3 linked regions of the Oryctolagus cuniculus genome follow. The protein of the gene in region 3 interacts with the protein of the main gene of each other region in a biochemical or structural test. Links are inferred from orthologs where the notes say so. Each region holds a gene or a part of one and is shown on either strand. Other genes may lie near its edges.

What was found.
Region 1: the proteins of MAGI2 (region 3) and ADRB1 interact in a test that uses a peptide from one of them, tested with the Homo sapiens proteins (4 studies listed by IntAct, with this or other methods). The link is inferred for Oryctolagus cuniculus from reciprocal best matches to the Homo sapiens genes MAGI2 and ADRB1.
Region 2: the proteins of MAGI2 (region 3) and RPS6KA1 interact in a test that uses a peptide from one of them, tested with the Homo sapiens proteins (2 studies listed by BioGRID and IntAct, with this or other methods). The link is inferred for Oryctolagus cuniculus from reciprocal best matches to the Homo sapiens genes MAGI2 and RPS6KA1.

The regions. Positions count from the first base shown.
Region 1 is NC_091446.1:16,245,144-16,251,425, forward strand, and holds ADRB1 (beta-1 adrenergic receptor), read right to left. Parts: upstream 4,259-6,282; 5' UTR 3,996-4,258; intron 3,920-3,995; 5' UTR 3,732-3,919; intron 3,308-3,731; 5' UTR 3,226-3,307; coding exon 1,660-3,225; 3' UTR 356-1,659; downstream 1-355. UniProt on the Homo sapiens protein: Beta-adrenergic receptors mediate the catecholamine-induced activation of adenylate cyclase through the action of G proteins. This receptor binds epinephrine and norepinephrine with approximately equal affinity.
Region 2 is NC_091438.1:144,952,788-144,958,895, forward strand, and holds the start of RPS6KA1 (ribosomal protein S6 kinase alpha-1), read right to left. Parts: upstream 3,956-6,108; 5' UTR 3,903-3,955; coding exon 3,768-3,902; intron 3,037-3,767; coding exon 2,920-3,036; intron 2,690-2,919; coding exon 2,608-2,689; intron 1-2,607. UniProt on the Homo sapiens protein: Serine/threonine-protein kinase that acts downstream of ERK (MAPK1/ERK2 and MAPK3/ERK1) signaling and mediates mitogenic and stress-induced activation of the transcription factors CREB1, ETV1/ER81 and NR4A1/NUR77, regulates translation through RPS6 and EIF4B phosphorylation, and mediates cellular proliferation, survival, and differentiation by modulating mTOR signaling and repressing pro-apoptotic function of BAD and DAPK1.
Region 3 is NC_091434.1:144,050,698-144,056,967, reverse strand, and holds the start of MAGI2 (membrane-associated guanylate kinase, WW and PDZ domain-containing protein 2), read left to right. Parts: upstream 1-2,533; 5' UTR 2,534-3,008; coding exon 3,009-3,309; intron 3,310-5,325; exon of another isoform or gene 5,326-6,270. UniProt on the Homo sapiens protein: Seems to act as a scaffold molecule at synaptic junctions by assembling neurotransmitter receptors and cell adhesion proteins. Plays a role in nerve growth factor (NGF)-induced recruitment of RAPGEF2 to late endosomes and neurite outgrowth.

The sequences.
Region 1 (6,282 bases), on a different chromosome or scaffold from region 3:
CACCGTGGATTCATCTGTTCTCTGTGTTTCTGGGCAGAGTGGCAGCGGAGTTACCCTGGCCCAGTCACTTAGATTCTTTCAGAAGACACACAAGCCCGCAGCTGAGAGCAACAGATGGAATCTCGAAAGCACCTCCGAGTCGTCTGGGATACCTTGAATCCGACTGTGAAAATTGAGGGCAAATCTGCAGCTCTCAGTAGGTGAGCGCCTTATTTGGTCTAGAGGCATTTCGCTATGTTATTGAGTCATGAAAAGCTATTAAAAGAGCTCTATGAGAAATGCAGTCTCTATTTGGAAGGAGACAGACTGTCTTGTTCATTGTCACTGACCCCTTACAGACACACGGTACATAATCTTGATTGTGCTTCATTGGTATTTATTGCACATGGACCAATTCCTCACACAGTAGTTAGTTGCACTGGAGTATAAATACTTGGTCAAACACACAAGAGGAAGTAGAATTTACACACAAGGGCTAGATTTTACCAGCAGGTTTACGTGAGCACTTGGACATAAAAAAATAATTAAAAAATCCTTAAGATAATATTTATACTATGGATACAGTTACAGTACCATGATAAAAGAGTATAAAAAGGTATTTCCCCAATAAATCATTAGCTCAATAACATAATAGACAACAGAAGTAGAATTCGAATTTTATTCGAGTTTTTAAGCTCTCCCCCCCACCCCGTTAAAAAATATTTCATTTCTTTTTGTGCAAGTAACATCATCTGTGGACTTTATGATTCCTAACACTGTGCAAAAATGGCGTCTTGAACCACTTCTTTTTTATGTGTTTGTATCCACATGTGCAGTAATCTGAACTATTTCCTTTTCTCCCTCCCTTTTTCTTCTTTTTAAATTCTGCTTCTGTCCTGTCTTCAATGGACAGAGTCACATGTCACAACGCCTGGTCCTTCCCACGACTATTGATACATAAATAAGCTGTTTAATATAAACAAGTCTTCCTATCTTGCTGTGCGTTGTGCACAGTGTGAGGTAGACAGCCCTCAACCTGACCAGGGGGGCGCCCAGGGCTCGGGGCGCGGAGAAACGTGTTCCGAGCGCTGCTGAAAACATCCGAAAACCTGACTGTTAGGCATCCATCCTCTCCCTTCGCTTCAAGAAAGGAGAAATCACTACTCGGGAATGAGCACGAAATCCCTCTGGGAAGCAAAAGGAAACCGTCCTGACAAGCCGTCCTAGCCTCCCTCTCTGGTTGACTGCGCGAGTTCCCAGCAGCGGGATAGAAGCCAAGCGGGTATTTTCATCTCTTGCTGCTTCTTCCTTCCCCTCCCTCGACCCACCCCACCTGCACTCCAGTCCCCGTCGCAGAAAGTGTCAAAAACCACCTGGAAAGAAAGAAAGAAAGAAAAATTCCCCAGAGGCATCACACGCACGCACCCGAGGCCCAACCACAGACAGAAAACGCACGCAGAAAACTGGGCAAGCCACTCTCCCACCCGTTCCCCAAACATTCCTTCCTGGGCAAAGGCCCCACGGCCTTTCTGTCTGCCCTGGACAATGCGGTCACCCGCCGTTGGTAAACACCCATCTCCTCTCCCCTCCACCCGCACCCCGCGGTTCCCCGGCGAGCTCTCCTGCTCCTCCTCCCCGGGCGCAGGGCGCGCGTCCCGGACGCGGGGGGCGCGCCGGGCCCTACACCTTGGACTCGGAGTTGAAGCCCGGGCGGCACGGCTCGTCCAGGCTCGAGTCGCTGTCCGCCGTCGCCGCCGCCGCCGCCGCCGCCGCCCCACCATTGCAGCCTGCCCAGGGATCCAACAGGCGCGCGGGTGGCGTGGCCCCGACGTCGTCGTCCTCCTCGTCCGAGGCTGCCCCGGGCGACGGTGGCGGTCCGGCGCGCGCGAGGCAGCCCGAGGCGCGCGGCCGGGCGTGGGGGTTCGCATGGCACCCGCGGGCGGCCCGGCGCGCGCAGCAGAGCAGGCGCTGGAAGGCCTTGCGGAAGTCGGGGCTGCGGCAGTAGATGATGGGGTTGAAGGCCGAGTTGGCGTAGCCGAGCCAGTTGAAGAAGACGAAGAGGCGGTCGGGCACCAGGTCGCGGTGGAAGGCCTTCACCACGTTGGCCAGGAAGAACGGTAGCCAGCAGAGCGTGAACACGCCCATGATGATGCCCAGCGTCTTGAGCGCTTTCTGCTCGCGCAGGGCCACGAGGCGCGACGGCCGCCGCTTGCTGTGGCGCCCGTTGGCCAGCGCGGCCGCGGAGCCGGAGCCGGGGCTGGAGCCGGGGTCCGGGCGCGGGGGCCCTGGCTCGGGCGCGGGGCCGCTGAGGAAGCGGCGCTCACAGCTGTCGATCTTCTTCACCTGCTTCTGCGCCTCTCGGAACACCCGCAGGTACACGAAGGCCATGACGCACAGCGGCACGTAGAAGGAGACCACGGACGAGGCGATGGCGTACGCCCGGTTGGTGACAAAGTCGCAGCACTTGGGGTCGTTGTAGCAGCGGCGCGCCTCGTCGCCCTCGGCCCGCCACCAGTGCATGAGGATGGGCAGGAAGGACACGAGCGCCGAGATGGCCCACACGGTGCACACGAGGGCCCGCGCCCGCGCGCGCGTCAGCAGGCTCTGGTAGCGGAAGGGCGACGTGATGGCGAGGTAGCGGTCTAGGGCAATGACACACAGGGTCTCGATGCTGGCCGTCACACAGAGCACGTCCACCGAGGTCCAGAGCTCGCAGAAGAAGGAGCCATACTCCCAGCGGCCCCACACCACGATGGTGGCCCCGAAGGGCACCACCAGCAGCCCCATGACCAGGTCGGCGCTGGCCAGGGACATGATGAACAGGTTGGTGAGCGTCTGCAGCCGCGGTGTCTTCGCTATGGCCACGATCACCAGCACGTTGCCCGCCACGATGAGCAGCACCACGAGCGCCATAAGCAGGCCCATGCCAGCCGTCCACTGCTGCGACAGCAGCGCGGGGCCCTCGCTGGCGGGAGGCAACAGCGAGGCGGGCGGCGACGCGGGCACCAGCAGCCGCGCCGCCGTGGCCGCGCCGTCGGGCAGTGGCGCGGCGGACGACAGGTTGCAGGGCTCGGAGGCGCCCAGGGCGAGCGCCCCCGCGCTCATCCCGAGCTGCGGAGGCCGGGGGCGGGGGGTGTGGCGGAGCTGGGCCGTGGCTGGGGAGCCCTCCGAGAGGCCGTGCCGGCGGGGCGCGCTGTCGGAGGTCGCGGCCAGGTCAGGGCAGCTGCGGCGCGGAGCCCGAGGCATCGGCTCCGGGCGCCCTCCCCGCAGCCGCCGAGCGCTGTCGCCGCCGCCGCCGCCGCCGCTGCTGCTGGGGCCGCTGCCGCTGCTGGCAGAGCCGCCGGGACCTCAGCATGTTTCTGAGCGCGCGGGGCCCGCGGCCCCGGCACCCAGCACCCACCCCCCGTTCCCACCTCCCGAGCCGGCCCCCGGGGCCTGGCGTCAGGCTCCTGCAGCCAATCGGGGCGAGGGCACGCCCCCTTCTCTGCCTCCCCACTCCCTGCTACCCCGACTCCCCGCACCCCCTCCTACCGGCGATTGAGCGGCTCGGGGGAGTCGGGGCAGAGCGTCCAGCCAGCGCCTCTCGGGCGCCCGCGGGTTCCGCCGAGCGCTCCCTTTCCTGCGCCCGCCCGCTCCAGCGCCCCGTTCCCCTGCGCCGCCTAGGGCGCCCGGCTCCCGGCCGCGTCCCCGCCCCCTCCCGCGCTCGGCTCCCTCCCGCTGCCCCGCTCTGCCCACCCCCGCATCCCCTCTACCTCCGTTGTCCGGATTCCCCGCAGCACTGGGCGCCGGCTCCCTTAGGGGGCGGCGAACGTTGACATCCTCACGGCTCCTGGGCGCCTCGAGCGGTCTTGTCCGCCAGGGTTGGAGGAGATTGGTTCTTGGGTGTGTAGAGTCCTTCCTCCGCCAAGGGGGCACCGGGCCAACCTGCGTCGCGCCAGCCCTGCGAGATCGGAGGTGGGTGTTAGCAGGGAGAGGAAACTTGGCAGCACAGCGCGTTGCGGGAGCAAACCGCGCACCTGTCTCTGCGCGGGTGCGGCGCTTGCGAGGAAGCGTCTGTTGTACTTCGGGTGCAGGAGATGTAGCAGGGGCGAAGGCTGCTGCATCCAGCAGCCAACGCGGAGGCTGAGCTGGAAAAACACACACTTCCTAGCCCCTGCGCGTGATGCAACAGTGTGTGTCCACGCCGTGAGGGGAGAGGCTAGGGAAACACGCATGTTAACGCGCACGCAGACAGACCACCTCCACTGACGCTTTAGGCTTCCCACATTCAGTCACAACACCTGCATTTTGTGAGTTATTGCACGCAGGTTTTTATACTCAGGGCAGTGTGGATTGCAGACTCTGAGGCACTGACAGTTTTGGTTGAAGCAATGAACTGGGATTTTGGATTTTTTGGTCTGGGTGGCGGTTTGTTCCTTTACCCAAGTTCCCAGATTCTTGCAACTCTGGGGTTAGTTTTGAAGGGATGAGAGAGAGAGAGAAAAAAACCATAAATCCTCAAGGGGATTAAAACCCCAAAGCATTTAAAGTTATACCAGTGGTTTCTGAGTTGGCAAATGGGTTCATTTAAGGGTTAGAGGGTTGTTAACCTAGTTGTAGGTGGATTATATGGAGGAGAGGGGGAATGGTGGGGCCAGGAGCACACAGGGCAGAGGGAAGCAAGCCCTTTCTCTAATTTGGCCCTGGTAAGGAACTTAGCTCAGGCCTGAAAATAAACAAAAAACCTTTAATTAGATCCTTGTGAAGTAAACAGCTCCCGATCATCATGAACGTGTTATATAACGCTCACACATCTTTACGGCGTTAGAATAAAAAGAACAGCATCTAGAAAGAGCATCCACCACGGCCCAAAACCGTGCTCCTACCTTGCCAGAGAGAGGCGAACAAAAAGGAATGCTTGTTACGTGTGCAGACGTCAGACCGTTTGCACCAGCTTCTTGAGACTAGAGAAATGCAAACACATGAATTTGCTTTAGGCCTAAGCATGATCATCGAAGCATTCCTACAACCCGGGAGTGATTAATTTGTTTATTCACCCCTGCCCTGGACTCAGCCCAGTTTTGCCAACTTGGGGAGGTTGATGTGGGGGAGTCAGGAAGAGAGGAGCTGGAAAGAGGGAGGAAGGAGACCGGGCCCTTAGTGACTCCACTCCTTGCAAGTCCTCCCTTTGGCCCGGTGAGAGGGGGAGCTAAGGGGTGGTATTAAAATAGCCAAGGGATTGGGTGGAGTGGAAATTGATGCTGCCCAGGAAAGGGCTCTGAGTGCTGGGTGGGGTGCAGGGAGTGTGGGGAAAGCTGCTGTCTACCCGGCGCAATCCTCCTGCCAAGTGCTGCTACTGGAATAGAGTGTGTCAACCTCAAGTGCCCGCACAGGGCCAGGGCGCAGGGCGCAACACGGCGAGAAGGCCTGACTGTGGGTGCAGGGGCTGGCGCAGAAGCCGGGTGCAGGTGACTTCACTGTGTGGTTACTTGCACGAACGTCCTGGGCATCAGCATGGCCGGAAACCTCTCTCCTGGCTCTCTCCCCTACTCATTCAGAGACACCACAAATACGTACATGGAATTATAGACACCGAAAGCAAAGGGTATTCTAACAGGGGCTGCTTCGCAGGGATGCAAGTAAAGCAGGGTCCTGGGAATTCTCAGGGCTCTCTTTCACTTGGGGTTAGGATTAGGGTCCTGAGAAGAGTTTTGGAATAGTCGGTGTTCAACTAGAGTTAGCTTGCCCCTTGAATTCTACATTTCATGGTGCTTTATTTTTAAAAAGTGTTTTTTTTTTCAGCTAGCTTTTTGTACTTAGATAAGATCAAGAAGGGTTTCCAGGTATCAACTATTCTGCTAAACAGACTGAGATTAAGGATGTTATAAAAATAAGAGGTTTAGTTTGGCTCACGGCTCAGAGTTGAAGTTCGAGATCTGGTGGCCACATCTGGCGAGAATCTGGTGCTGTGTCGTACTGTGCTGATGGTATGGCGTGGGGTGAGTCCAAGTACTCACAGAAGAGCGAGCACAAGGGGGCGCCTTGCTCTGCGACAGCCCACTCAGCACAGCTAGCTCGCTCTCCAGGGAACTGCAGTCATCCTTTCAGGAGGGCAGAGCCCCCATGACCCCAACCCTAACCATCTCTTAGGGGGTCCACTGTCTCTCAACACCATTACATTGGCAATGAAACCTGAACCTGAGTTTTGGTGAGGGCTAATCATATTCAAACCATAGCTTCCACCTACACAGGTATTAGATGTTACAAGTGAATGAACAATCTTTGATTCCCTCACTCCCCGCTTGGCAACTGTGAGGAAGATCA
Region 2 (6,108 bases), on a different chromosome or scaffold from region 3:
TACGCCGCAGCGCCAGCCCCTTTCTTATTTTTTTAAAGAATAGAAGTTGCAGGGCTGGCGCTGTGGCGTAGAGGGTGAAGCCACCGCCTGTGACACTGGCATCCCTGAGTGCCGCTGGTTCAAGTCCCATTTGTTCCACTTCTGATCCAGCTCCCTGCTAATGCACCTGGGAAAGCAGCAGAAGATGGAGATGGCCCAAGTCCTTGGGTCCTTGCACCCACATGGGGACCCAGAAGAAGCTCCTGGCTCTGGCTTCAGCCAGGCCCAGCCCTGGGCCGTTGCGGCCATTTGGGAAGTGAACCAGCAGATAGAAGATCTCCCTCTCTCCTTCTCTCCCTGTAACTCTGCCTTTCAAATTTAAAAAAAAAAAAAAAAAATATTTAAATATTGGGGCCGGCACTGTGGTGCAGCAGGTTAAAGCCCCAGCCTGCAGCACTGGCATCTCATATGGGAGCCGGTTCAAGTCCCGGCTGCTTCACTTCCAATCCAGCTCTCTGCTATGGCCTGGGAAAGCAGCAGAAGATGGCCCAAACCCTTGGGCCCTTGCACCCATGTGGGAGACCTGGATGAAGCTCCTAGCTCCTGGCTTCAGATTGGCTCAGCTCTGGCCATTGCAGGCATTTGGGGAGTGAACTAGTGGACGGAAGACCTGTGTGTGTGTGTGTGTGTGTGTGTGTGTGTGTCTTTACCTCTCTCTGTAACTTTCAAATAAATAAACCTTTACCAAAAATATCTTGATTCAGACATCAGCTGGTCTTCCTGCCCTCAGTCAGGTCTCACCTCCCCCTTAGCCTCCCAAGCTGGACGAGGGCCTTCCAGCTACTTCTGACCAGGACTAATGTCACTTCAGGCTAACTTCAGACTAAGAGTGCTGGACTTCCTCTTCAAAGCACTGGCTTTTGTTCATTTGCATTAGTTAAGAGAGAGAAAGAGAGAGCATGAGAGAGTGAGAGAGTGAGAGACAGAGAGAGAGAGGGACTGCACTCTCATCTGCTGGTTCACTCCCCAGTGTCCACAATGGCCAGGGGATGAAGAACTCACTTAAGATCTACCATGTGAGTGGCAGGGACCCCACTATTTGAGCCATGACCTGCTGCCTCGCGGGGTCTGCCTTAGCAGGAGCTGAGTAATGAACCAAGAACTGCTACAGGGGGTGTGGCCTCCTATCCACCAGGCCTCACGCCCACTCCCTCAGAACACGTTTTATCTTCTAGTTTAACGTAAAATTTTTAAATGTATGCTTTAACTATTTGAAAGGCAGAAAGACAAAGACAGAGACTGATCATCCATCCGCTTGTTCACTCTCCAAATGACCACAACAGCCAAGGTTGGAACTGGCCAAAACCTTGAGCCAAGAACTCTATCCAGGTCTCACTCATGGGTGCCAGGGACCCTAGTACCGGAGCCATCCCCTGCTGCCTCCCAGGTGTGCATCAGCAGGAAGTCAGGATCAGAAGCAGAGCGGGACTGGAACTCGGGCATTCCGAGGGGGTCCCAAGTGTCCCAGGCAGCATCCTAAATCCTGGCCCCGTCGATTTTAATTTCTGTACTTCCCTCACTGGGTACAGCAGGGACCACACTGCCGTTAACTCTGGTCACCATTTCCTGAACGCACCTTGTCCCAAACCCCTCTCCAGTTCCTCCTTCCTCCATCACTTTTCGGCTGGAACATTCCTAATTCATCCCTCACGGCACAGCTTGCACGGCTACGGCTTAGGTGTCCCCCTGACCTCTGGACCTGCCCTCTAGGAGATCTGGGGACGGGGAATCAGCACTTCTGCAAACTGTCTCATTTTTATCCGGTTAGCAGACAGACGTGTACAAGGCCCCTGCTGCACCCTGACCCCGAGCTCCTGGACATCCATGCCCACCCGTCACAGTAGCAGCTGCACCTGTGTCCGGCCCCTCCCACTCAGCCCGAAAGCCCTGCTCAGCATCCCTCCTGGGAGACGACTCCCACACGAGCTGGCTGGCCTTGGGGCACCACAGCCACCATCATCAGCCCCACAGAGAGCCCTTAAAGGCCCAGAACATTCTGAAGGGTGATACTGCCTGTGCGTCCCACAGCACCCCCAACCACTGCTTGGCTCTGACCCCACCTGGTCAGTGGCTACACAGCCAATGTTCGATCCAAAGTTCCACTACTGACCACTGTCACAAGTCCCCGGGACCCCAGAGGGCTCAGGGCTCCCTCCTGAGCCTCTGCCACCCACCTCTGGGCCTCGCCTCCATCGCCCTCTCTTATCTACCCAGCCACTCCGCTGGGCTCCCTCGCGCCCTTCCCCACCCTGAGCTAGGAGGCCGGACAGGGCTCCCTCAGACTCCAGCAGCATAGTGAAGCAACTCGGCTGACAGTGCACCTCTGTCTATCCAGCGTGATGCTTGAGGACCTCCCCACCCCCAAACACCCTGTACTCGGCTCACTGCCTCCTTCCAGACGCTTACCGTCAGCCACAGTCACTGGCACTTGTCTGGGGTGGGGCGGGGGAGAGGCAGCCGGTAGTGGACCTGTTTCTCCACCTCCCCAGCAGGTGCACCTGAAGATGGTGCTCCCCCACCCACCGTGAGACCCAGCCTGGGTTCTGCCCAGGGCCGCCCCTCACTCACCTTTCAATGTCGCCTTCTTCAGCACCTTCATGGCATACAGGTGCCCACTGTCAGGCCGGGTGACCTTGCGCACCAGGAAGACCTGAGAAGGAACAGGGGGAGAAGCTGGGGAGGGCCCTTGGCCTGTGGGTCCCCATCCTCCAGGCCCCAGGTTGATCCGAGCTTCCCAGAGCTCCAGGATGACCTTTTGCTCTCCCTGGCTACCAAGGTAACCTCCCACCCTTATCCTCCATCCTCGGGGTCGCAGGGTGGCTCGGGCCCCACCTCTGACATGACCAAGGCTGCCCTCCCGGCTGTGGGCTCACAACTCACTTTGCCAAAGGATCCCTGTCCCAAAACCTTGAGGAGCTCGAAGTGGGACGGGTCGGCCTTCTCGGAGCCAGCCTTGACGTGGTGCGTGATGGAGATCTCCTTGAGGACGCCCTCATCCTGGAGGAGACACAGAGCCGGTGGGCATGGTGGCCCCATCCACGTCCACTCCCCCCAGACCTCGGCAGGCCGAACACACAGCTCTCCGACGGTGCCAGCCTTCAGGCTCATCAATACCAAAGCATCTCAAAGGCAGGGCAAGTACCGGCCCGGTGAGGCACTGCTCCTAAGGCTCCTGCTGCTCTGACCTGGTCAGCCCAAAATGACGCGGCTGGCCAGGCTGAACCAACCCCAGGCTCTGGCTGAGGCCCAGAGACCTGCCCCAGGCCTGCCTGCCGGGGCTAGCCTCCCCCTGCTGTTTTGGTTTGGCCACAATAGGAAATAAGCTTTGTTCTGCTAACCAGGAGGTAGAGACGGGCCTTTGCTCCCAGTCAGGATGGGATGAGGGGACTGCTACTGGGACATCCCCATCAACCCAGTCTACAGCATGAGGGAGTTAAGGCCAGCAGCTCCGCACCCCACCTGCACAAATCCCCACCACACCAAGCTATCAGCAGCCCCTTGCCACGGCATAGCTGTTCTAGGCCCTTCTCCCCTCCCTCTAATGTGCCGGTATTACCCTGGAGCCCAGAAGGGGCCTCTCTACTTCCCCCGGAAGCAGGCCTGGAGAGTGTCTGGTGACCCGGCAGGGCCAGGTCTGGGCCAGGAAATCCCGAAGCCACCTTAGGCCAGCCTGGCTGCCTTTTTCAAGGACGACAGCTGGGCCGGGACCAGATGCTGGGCACACTCACCGAGTCCTGCTGGGGGCCAGAGCCAGGGCCAGGAGCAGGTAGCGAGGTCTGGCCGACCCTCGGCCGCTGCTTCCTGGGCAGCCAGGGGAGCAGGGCCCAGAGCCGCAGACGGGGCGGCTTGGGATCCTGCTCCATCCGCCCAGCAGGGCCACGGCACCATGGCAGGAGTAGGCAGTGTCTGGGGCTGCCACAGAGGTGGCCAGGCCCAGGCGGATGTGCAGGGTAAGGGCGTGGGGGCTGGGCCCAGCCCAGGGCAGCCAATCACTCGGGGCCTGTGGTTTCCCAGCTACAGGCCTACACCCTCAACCACCTTCCCTTCTTCTCTCTTCCCGCCTCTCCGGTGCCTGAGGGCTGCCCTCTGGCCCTGCCCCCATACTCCCCTGTGGGCCTGCAAAGGCAAAGCCCAGAGCCAACCCGTCTGCTGAGCAGATAGGTGCCCACCAGAGGCATGGGCCTGCCATGCAGCAGCAGATAAAAAGAGACATACGCCAGGCAGAGGCAGGCACCCAAGAGGTGGAGACAGATAAAGATGGGCGTCCAACAGGCAGAGACATAGAAGGACACGTACCCAACAGGCAGAGACAAGAGGGAACACACCCGCAGCAGGCAGAGACAGACAGGGATGGGGACCCGACAGGCAGAGGCAGGAGCAACAGGCAGAAGTGGACCAAGACCCAACATGCAGAGGTGGATGGGATCAGAACTCCACAGGCAGAGGCAGATGGGGACAGGAACCCAACAGGTAGAAACAGAAGCCATGTGGATCCATCAGGCAGACAGATGGGAATACCAACCCAACAGCCAGAGAGAGAAGGGCACACGAGCCCGACAAGCACCCGGCATGTGGCGTGCACCCAGCGGCAGCAGGCAAGCACTCCTCGCGGGGACAGAAAGTGAGCAGCAGAGAGAGACAGCCAGCTAGGGAGCCAGGGAGGGCCCGGCAGACAGACAGACACCAGGGCAGAGGGGGGCTGGCACCCACAGTGAGAGACACTTGGGCAGGCAACAGGGCAGGGATCCTCAGGAAAGGGTTAAGTGCAGAGCTGTGGCTTCTTGCTGGTGCACCTGGGGGCGAGGAGAGAGACGGAGGGGACATAGCCTGAAGCCCCCGGCACAGCACTCAGGAGGACAGCTCAGCACTCGGGCAGGTCCGTCTCGGAGGTCTTCTGTCGCCCTAGAATGTTCTTCCCATAGGGCCTGAGAGGGCCCCAGGACCAAGGGAGTGGCTGAGGGAGCCTCTGTCCTCCTGAGTGAGACTGATGGCTTTGACTCGGATCCAAAAACCCCAAAAGCTCTGCTCTCCATTCTGGGAACAAGAAACTGAGGCCCAGAGGAGAGTGACTCCCTCAAGCTCAAAGCAAACCAGCGGCAAAGCCAACTTGAACTCGGGTCCCTCCCCTGGTTACTGCCTGACCCGGGGTCAGGAAAGGGTGGGCAGGTAAGTCAGCCAGAGCCACTTCCTGTCCAGCCCAGCCCGCCCCCTCCTCGGCCCTGGGGTCCGTGGGGACTGCCCACCCCAGGTCCTGGCCCTCTCTTTAGGAGGTCCTCCCTGACAGAGGGGACAGTGGGTGTAACAGCCCCACCAAAAGCTGCCCCTGAGCGTGACATCCTGATGGGACAGCGGAAGCCCTGGCTCAGAGAGGGGCTGAGGTGGGTCAAGGCCTCGCGGCTTCCCTGGCCACCCCACCCTGAGATCCACGCCTCCGCTTTACCCGCCCGCCTCCGACTCAACAACACTCCCTGGGGACAGAGGCAGTCACCCGGAAACCCCAGGGGACACAGCCACCGCACACCCACTCCTCGCCCACAGTCGCGCGGCAGGCGCTGCTAGAGACAAGCCACCTTGGCTCACCTTTCCGGGAGAGGGGAGCGAGTCTCTCTGAGCCCCGGGGCAGTCTGCCGGGGTCTGCATGGTGAGGCTCCGGCAGCGGCCAGAGGCCCTGGTGCTGCTTACTTCTGCTTTTCGTAGCCTTCCTCACCCAGAAGGCAGGGTCCCCGGGCCCCCTCCTTCTCACTTCCCTCTCGGCAGGGAGGACGGACAGAAGTCGGGTCAGGCTCCCATGCGGGGGTGGGGCTGGGGGGACGCTGCAGACCCCAAGCTGGCCAGTCCAGGGAGCACCCCTGGACACACCCCTCTGACTCTAAGAAGGGGAGACACAGTTTACACAGAAGTCACCAGGCGGTGAGGCATCCTGGCCCCCAGAGACGCCGGGGACAGAAGTCAGCCAGGCCCGGCCACAGCTCTGGCGCTCCTTCCCACATCGCGACCTTCCACAGCTGGGCCGGGACAGCCCTTTCGACGTGGCCTCGCTCCTCTAGTACACCCATCGGGACCGACCCG
Region 3 (6,270 bases):
ACTTCACTGGCAATGTGGCTCCCTTGATGTCAAGACATCTGTGAAGGTGTCACACTCCAGGCTGCTGAGCAAAGCACCACCGTATTGCCAGTAAAATTTGCTAAGAAGCTGCCTACTGACAGGCCAGTGAGACTCATGAGGAAGCCACACACTGGGAAAACTGCCAAATTTTCTGGAGGGTATGAAACATGGGTCTCTTGCACACCATTGGCCAAAAAGCCACTGACTGACCACCACAGCAGAGTTGCAAGCAGTAAAGCGCTGGAATCAGGAGAACTTCCATTTGCCGGGCCTCTCGAGCACATTCCATCAAGAAATCTAATACTCTGCTGACAACAAAGAAATGTTTACATATACCAGCTCTAATTTGAAGCAAAAAGTGGATTTGAGGCAGAGGAGCCTAAATTTATTGGCACAGGTCAATGTCTTTCCTGGGTTCTGGAGAGTCAGCATGATTTTAATGCTAAATTTCTGCTCCATTTTCTTCCCTTTCTTTCTTAATTGCCACACAAAAGAGCAGACCCAACCCTCAGTTGTATTCAGAACTGGTAGATTTGGTAAATGCAGGACAGAGTTCAATGCAGTGGGTCTGAATAGGTATTAGTTTCATCATGAACTATGCTTGTTGCCTCACAAAAGTTTCATTCTGTAAACCTCAATTTCCCTGTCTGTAAAAGGGGATGATCACAGTATCTATTTCACTAAGGTATTAATAGGAATAAGTTAGTACATGTAAAACTGTGAGAACACCTGGCACAGGTAGAACTCGATAAATACATGCATTACTCAAACATGCATGGTAGCTGGTAACTGTTGCTAAACAAATTCTCAGTTCTTATTACCAGTTGAAGAGCAAGCCTCATAATGCTAAAATCAACTGCCCAAATACCACAACCTACTTCTGAGTACTCCTGCAGCTCTGCTTCAGATCCTGGCATCACCCCTGTCTTGCTGATCAATCCTCACTGGTTGTAGCCAACTCACTGGGGATGTGTTTGCTTATATTGGAAAAAAAAAAGACATAGGTTAAACAAAACCTCTTTTTTAAAAGATGTTTTCTAGTTCTAACCACTCAAGAGGGAAAGAGAAAGGAAATTTCTATTCTGAACCCTGCCCACCTTTGCTGGCAAGCACCGTGCATGTTTTACCTGACTTCACCTCAACACACCCTTCTCAGATTAGTATTTTTAACCTGATTTACCAAATAAAAGAAACGGAGGCTTAGAAAGGTCAATTGGTTTAGTTAAGTTCACACTTCTACTAAGTAGCAGAGGAGGGATTCAAACCTGGTCTTTCTGTTTGGGTCGACAGAACCTTTTTTTATTTTTGAAATTGAACTGCCTGCCTCCCACATTTCCTTCATCTCAGACATCAAGAACCTTCACAGCCCAATGCTTTTCAGACTCTGCTTTAAAGACATGAGTGGGTGTGCGACTTTTGTGTGTGTCTGAAACATCTCATTTGAAAGTTAAGCAAATTGAAATTCATTTACCAGTTACAGGAATTAAGAAAAAAGATCCTCCTAATGTCTAGCGCGAAATGAGGGCGCACACGAACATCAGCAGCGCACCTGCATCCTGGGGCCCCCCTGGCCCTCACCTCTCCTCTTGGCTGCAAACTTCAAGGCAAGGAGAGCTCCGGATGGAGCCCAACCAGCCCAGGGCTCGCCCTGATTCTGCCACTACTAGCCCCGCCTCGGCGCTTGCTCTCCTTTCTCGGTAGCATTGGCTTCTCGGGCCAGGTCATCTTAAGGTTTCTGCCCAAGTACCAGTCCTACTGGTATGTCCTTACCCACCCTGCGCCGCAGGTCCCAGATTCACCTTTCCACTCCTGCAGCACCAGCCCAGCAGCCCCTCGCTTTCCGTCGCTGCTAAGCGGGAAAGTCAAGCCCTTGTAACCCTGGGGTCCCCAGCACCGCGTTTCAGCGGACAAGCCCGGCCCCCGCGCCTAAACGCTGCCCTGGGGACGTGAAGCTGCTTCGCCTTGCGCCCGCAGGTCCGGCCCAGCAGCCGCCGTCTCCCTGATTCTGCCCTGCTCGGGCTCCGCGACGGACTATGTGGCTGTGAAAGCCCAGAGTCCAAGAGTCCCAGATTAGCAGCGCGGAGCTCCCAGGCCTTCCTTCCCCTCTCCTCGGCCACCACGAGCCGCGTCCCGGCACTTCCTCACGGACGCGTCGGCCGCGCGGGTCCGCGAGCTCTCTCAGCGGCGGCCGAGCGCGGCCCGGGGGCTGCCACAGAGCCCCGAGCTAGGTCCGCGCCGGCCTCCTCCTAGCGGGCCTCGGCTCCCCTCCTTCCCGGCTCCCGCCTCCTCCCGCAGGCTGCCAGGGAGACCCAGACTCTCTCTCTCTCTCCCTCTCTCGGCCTTCACTACCGGGTCAAGCTGCCGAGGGAGGGAGCGAGCGAGCGCGACAGCGGCGAAGCGCCCCTCCTCCTGGGCCTTGCTGCCGTCTCCCCTCAGCCCTTACAGTACAACACACACAAGCACACGCACACGCGCGCGCGCGCACACACACGCGCGCTCCCGCGCGGGCCCCGCCGCCGCGGCTGCCATGGATATCCGCTAACAACACAGCCGGCGCGCGCGCCCCGCGCACCACGCAGGAGTGGCCCCCGGCTCCCGACCCTTCTGCCCCACCCCCACGCGCCGGCTCCCAGCGCCGCTCGGTTTGCTCCGGCCGCCGCCGCCGCCGCCGCCGCCACAGCTTCCTCTGCTGCGGGGCCACAGCCTTGAGTGTCATTCAAGGGACAGCACCACCTCACCCTCGCTCTCCCACCTCTGCCCCGCCGTCCCTCTCTCATCCTCCCCCCCGTTTCTCGTCCACACTCCATCCCAAGAAGAGGCAAAGCGCCGAGCGGAGCTGGGAGGAAGGCGAAGTCTGCTCTCCTCACCCCCGTGCCCCCCCCACCCTCCCGTGCCTCCATCCCTGTTCGCGCCCCTATCAGCCCCTCTCCTCAACCCTCCAAAGGAGCCCCTTAGCCCCTGGAACTGAGGCGACCCAGCCCATTGCCATGTCCAAAAGCTTGAAAAAGAAAAGCCACTGGACTAGCAAAGTCCACGAGAGTGTCATTGGCAGGAACCCGGAGGGCCAGCTGGGCTTCGAGCTGAAGGGGGGCGCCGAGAACGGACAGTTTCCCTACCTGGGCGAGGTGAAGCCCGGCAAGGTGGCCTATGAGAGCGGCAGCAAGCTGGTGTCGGAGGAGCTGCTGCTGGAGGTGAACGAGACCCCCGTGGCGGGGCTCACCATCAGGGACGTGCTGGCCGTGATCAAGCACTGCAAGGACCCCCTCCGGCTCAAGTGTGTCAAGCAAGGTGAGCGCCGCGGCCGGCTCGTGCCGCGCCGCCGGCGGGACGGCTGGGGGGCGGCGGGGCGAAGGGCAGGGTGGGCGCGCCTAGGAAGGGGGTGTGTGGCGCGCCGCTGGGGTGGGGTCCGCCGAGGTCCTCCGGGAGGCTGCGCGGAGGGGTTAGTGCGGCTTGCGAGGTGAAGTGCAACTTTGTTTGGGTACTGAGACCCCCGGCTGCAGAAGGTGCCTGGCCTGGTCTGACCTCCTGAGGCCAATTGAATGTGCGTCAGTGGCATCGCCCGCAGTGGATGAAGAGATCTGGGGATGGGAGAAAGGAAGGAGAGGAGGAGGAGGAGGAGGGAAGGAGAGGGGCAAAGAGGAAGAGGCAACTGGAGGGTGCAGCGGCATCCCCAGCGGGGCTCTGAGGAGCAGAGGGCGGTGGGGCGCGCGGGCCTGGAGACGCCGAGGTCTCCCCCTACCACTGTCCCCCGGGGGATCCCCGTGCCACTGGCTGGCGATGCAGGGAAGGGACGCATGGCTTGGGGCGCTTTGACGGATCTTCTGTAACTTTTTCCCTGCCTCACCCTCCGGGCCCCCTCCCCCGCCCCGGTGGCGTCATGTGGGCACCGCGCGCGTCACGTGCGCACTGACTAACCCCACCGCGCACCCTCGGCCGGCAGGCGGCCGCCGGGAGGAGGCTCCGGAAGCGGGCGCCGCTCGGGGAGCCCCGGGCGAGCGCGGGGCTGCTGCCTGGAGCGCGCCGTGCTGGGGGCTGCCCTGGCGGGGTGGGAGTCCCCTGCCCGCGGGATTGGAGGGGGCGTGTTTCTGAGGGGGAGCAGTGGGATGGGGATGCCGCTGGTTGCAGCTCGGGCGCCTTCAGCTCCAGGCTGACTCTGATGGGCTTCCGCGGAAGGCTGTGTCGTGTGTGGATGCTTGCAGAACTCTGTTCAGTAACTCTCTCGTGTCTCGCAAGAAAATTGTGGTCCTGAGGGAGGAAAGACTGCGATGCAAGTTTGGCTGGAGGGCAGTTTGAGCTAGAATAAAGTGGATCTCTGTTTTCCTCGCGCGGTTGCACACTTTTTCCCAGCTTCAGTGGACGTTTCCAGGGCAGCGTGTGTGTGTGTGTAGGGGAGCGCTCTCGTGTCAGTCTGGAGGGTGGCTGTCCACCTGATGTTGTTTGACCCTCAGAGGTGGAATCAAGCCTGCTATTGCCTGCGTTTTCAACGACCATTTAATCCCCTGGCATGATCAACTACAGAGAAACACTATTAAGGGGATGTTCCTAGCTAGAAAAGGGTTCTGCAAAAACACTTGTTTAAAGGTAAACAAGAGAAAAAGAAGTCCGGCAAAGTTTCTGAAGTGTTAATTGCCCCACAAGGCAATGACAGTGGGGATTCTTGAGTATTAGTAGAACGGAGGCTAAGGGAAACATTGATTTTAAGTCATCACGATGACTGCCTGACGCTGAAGAATACGCAAATAAGGGAATTATTTGGTATCATATATTCTATGAAATTCAGGGGAAAGACAACATGGAAAAATAAGGGTATGAAAGCAGTTATTAAATATTGGAAAGATACCAGGTAAGAAAGGAAATTCTGGCTATCCTGTAATAGTTCCCAGGACAAAACTAAGACGAAAACAGGGAAACATTTAAAAGATGGAGCATCTTTATCTTTGCATTCATTAAAGGATCCGTTTTCTGTTAGGACCTTCCAGAAATCTGAGCAGTACCGTAAGTTGAGGCTCCCATTATTGCGGTTGCCAAAATGACCGTTTATGGGCACATGAGCTAGATAGCATTAAAATCCTCCATGATTTGGCCTAAGATACTCTCTCAACTTCTGTATTTTATTTGGAATACTATTACTTCTATAACTCAGGAAATACATACGTAGGTAGTAATATATTTAAGTGAAAATCTTTACGTTCTGTGTTACCGCTCAGTTCCAGGTTTCACTGGTTAATTGGTGATAGGTTCTTGAAATTATGTTCACAGAGACTCCACGGGAACCTGATTCACCCCTTGAATCACTATTGACAAAAAAAAACCCACAAAAACCTGCTTTTTCATCTTTAGTGGAATATGTAATACTTTTGTAAACTTTTATAAGTGCTTTGTGTATATATATGTATCCTGTATATATGATGTATCCTGTATATATATGTATGCTGTATATATATGTATATACATATGTATATATGTATCCTGTATATATATGTATCCTGTATATATGATGATTCATATAAACCATTCCCTTGTTGAATTCATTCTTTGTCAAATAATGGTTTTATTTTATTTATTTTTAAATTTTAAAAACCATAAATATAGTTCCACAGTGTCTTGGGTTTGGGTACAGATTTCACTTGCTGGAAAATCATTTAAAAATTCTTGGCTCAGTGACTGCATTTCTGGAGAGCCAAAAAACTAGCAGTTGAAAAAAATGAAATGTGGATTGTTTAGCAGTTGTATTTTAAGATATTAATGAGATTGATTTTTTAATATTCATTGAGACATTGGCTATATACTGAAACTACATGTAAATTAGCTGAACCCTGGCAGGTTTTGTAAAGAAATGAAAGATTTTAATAACAAGCTTATTAATAAAAAGTGCAGCAGATGAAATTGCATTATTTAGCTTTTATTTACTTGAGTAATTTTCCATTAAATTTATCATAATTTTAAATTATCACACCTTTAAAAGAAGGTAAACTACTAGGATTTTCAAGATGTACTACACAAAATAGATGTATTGTGGATTTTCTACACTGTTTAAATACTTTCAAAACAATTTTAATTACTATTTAATTAAACTCAAAGTATTTTCTTTTTAATTTGAACTGTGTGCTTTTAGTTGACACAATAAGCCATAAATGGAAAGTATAATTTATTGTCGTATCAGATTATTTTTAATAAGTTCTAGCCTTTTCATTTATCATACTAAACTTTCCTCATTAAGTTATGCAGCAGTAATTTAGTGTTTCATTA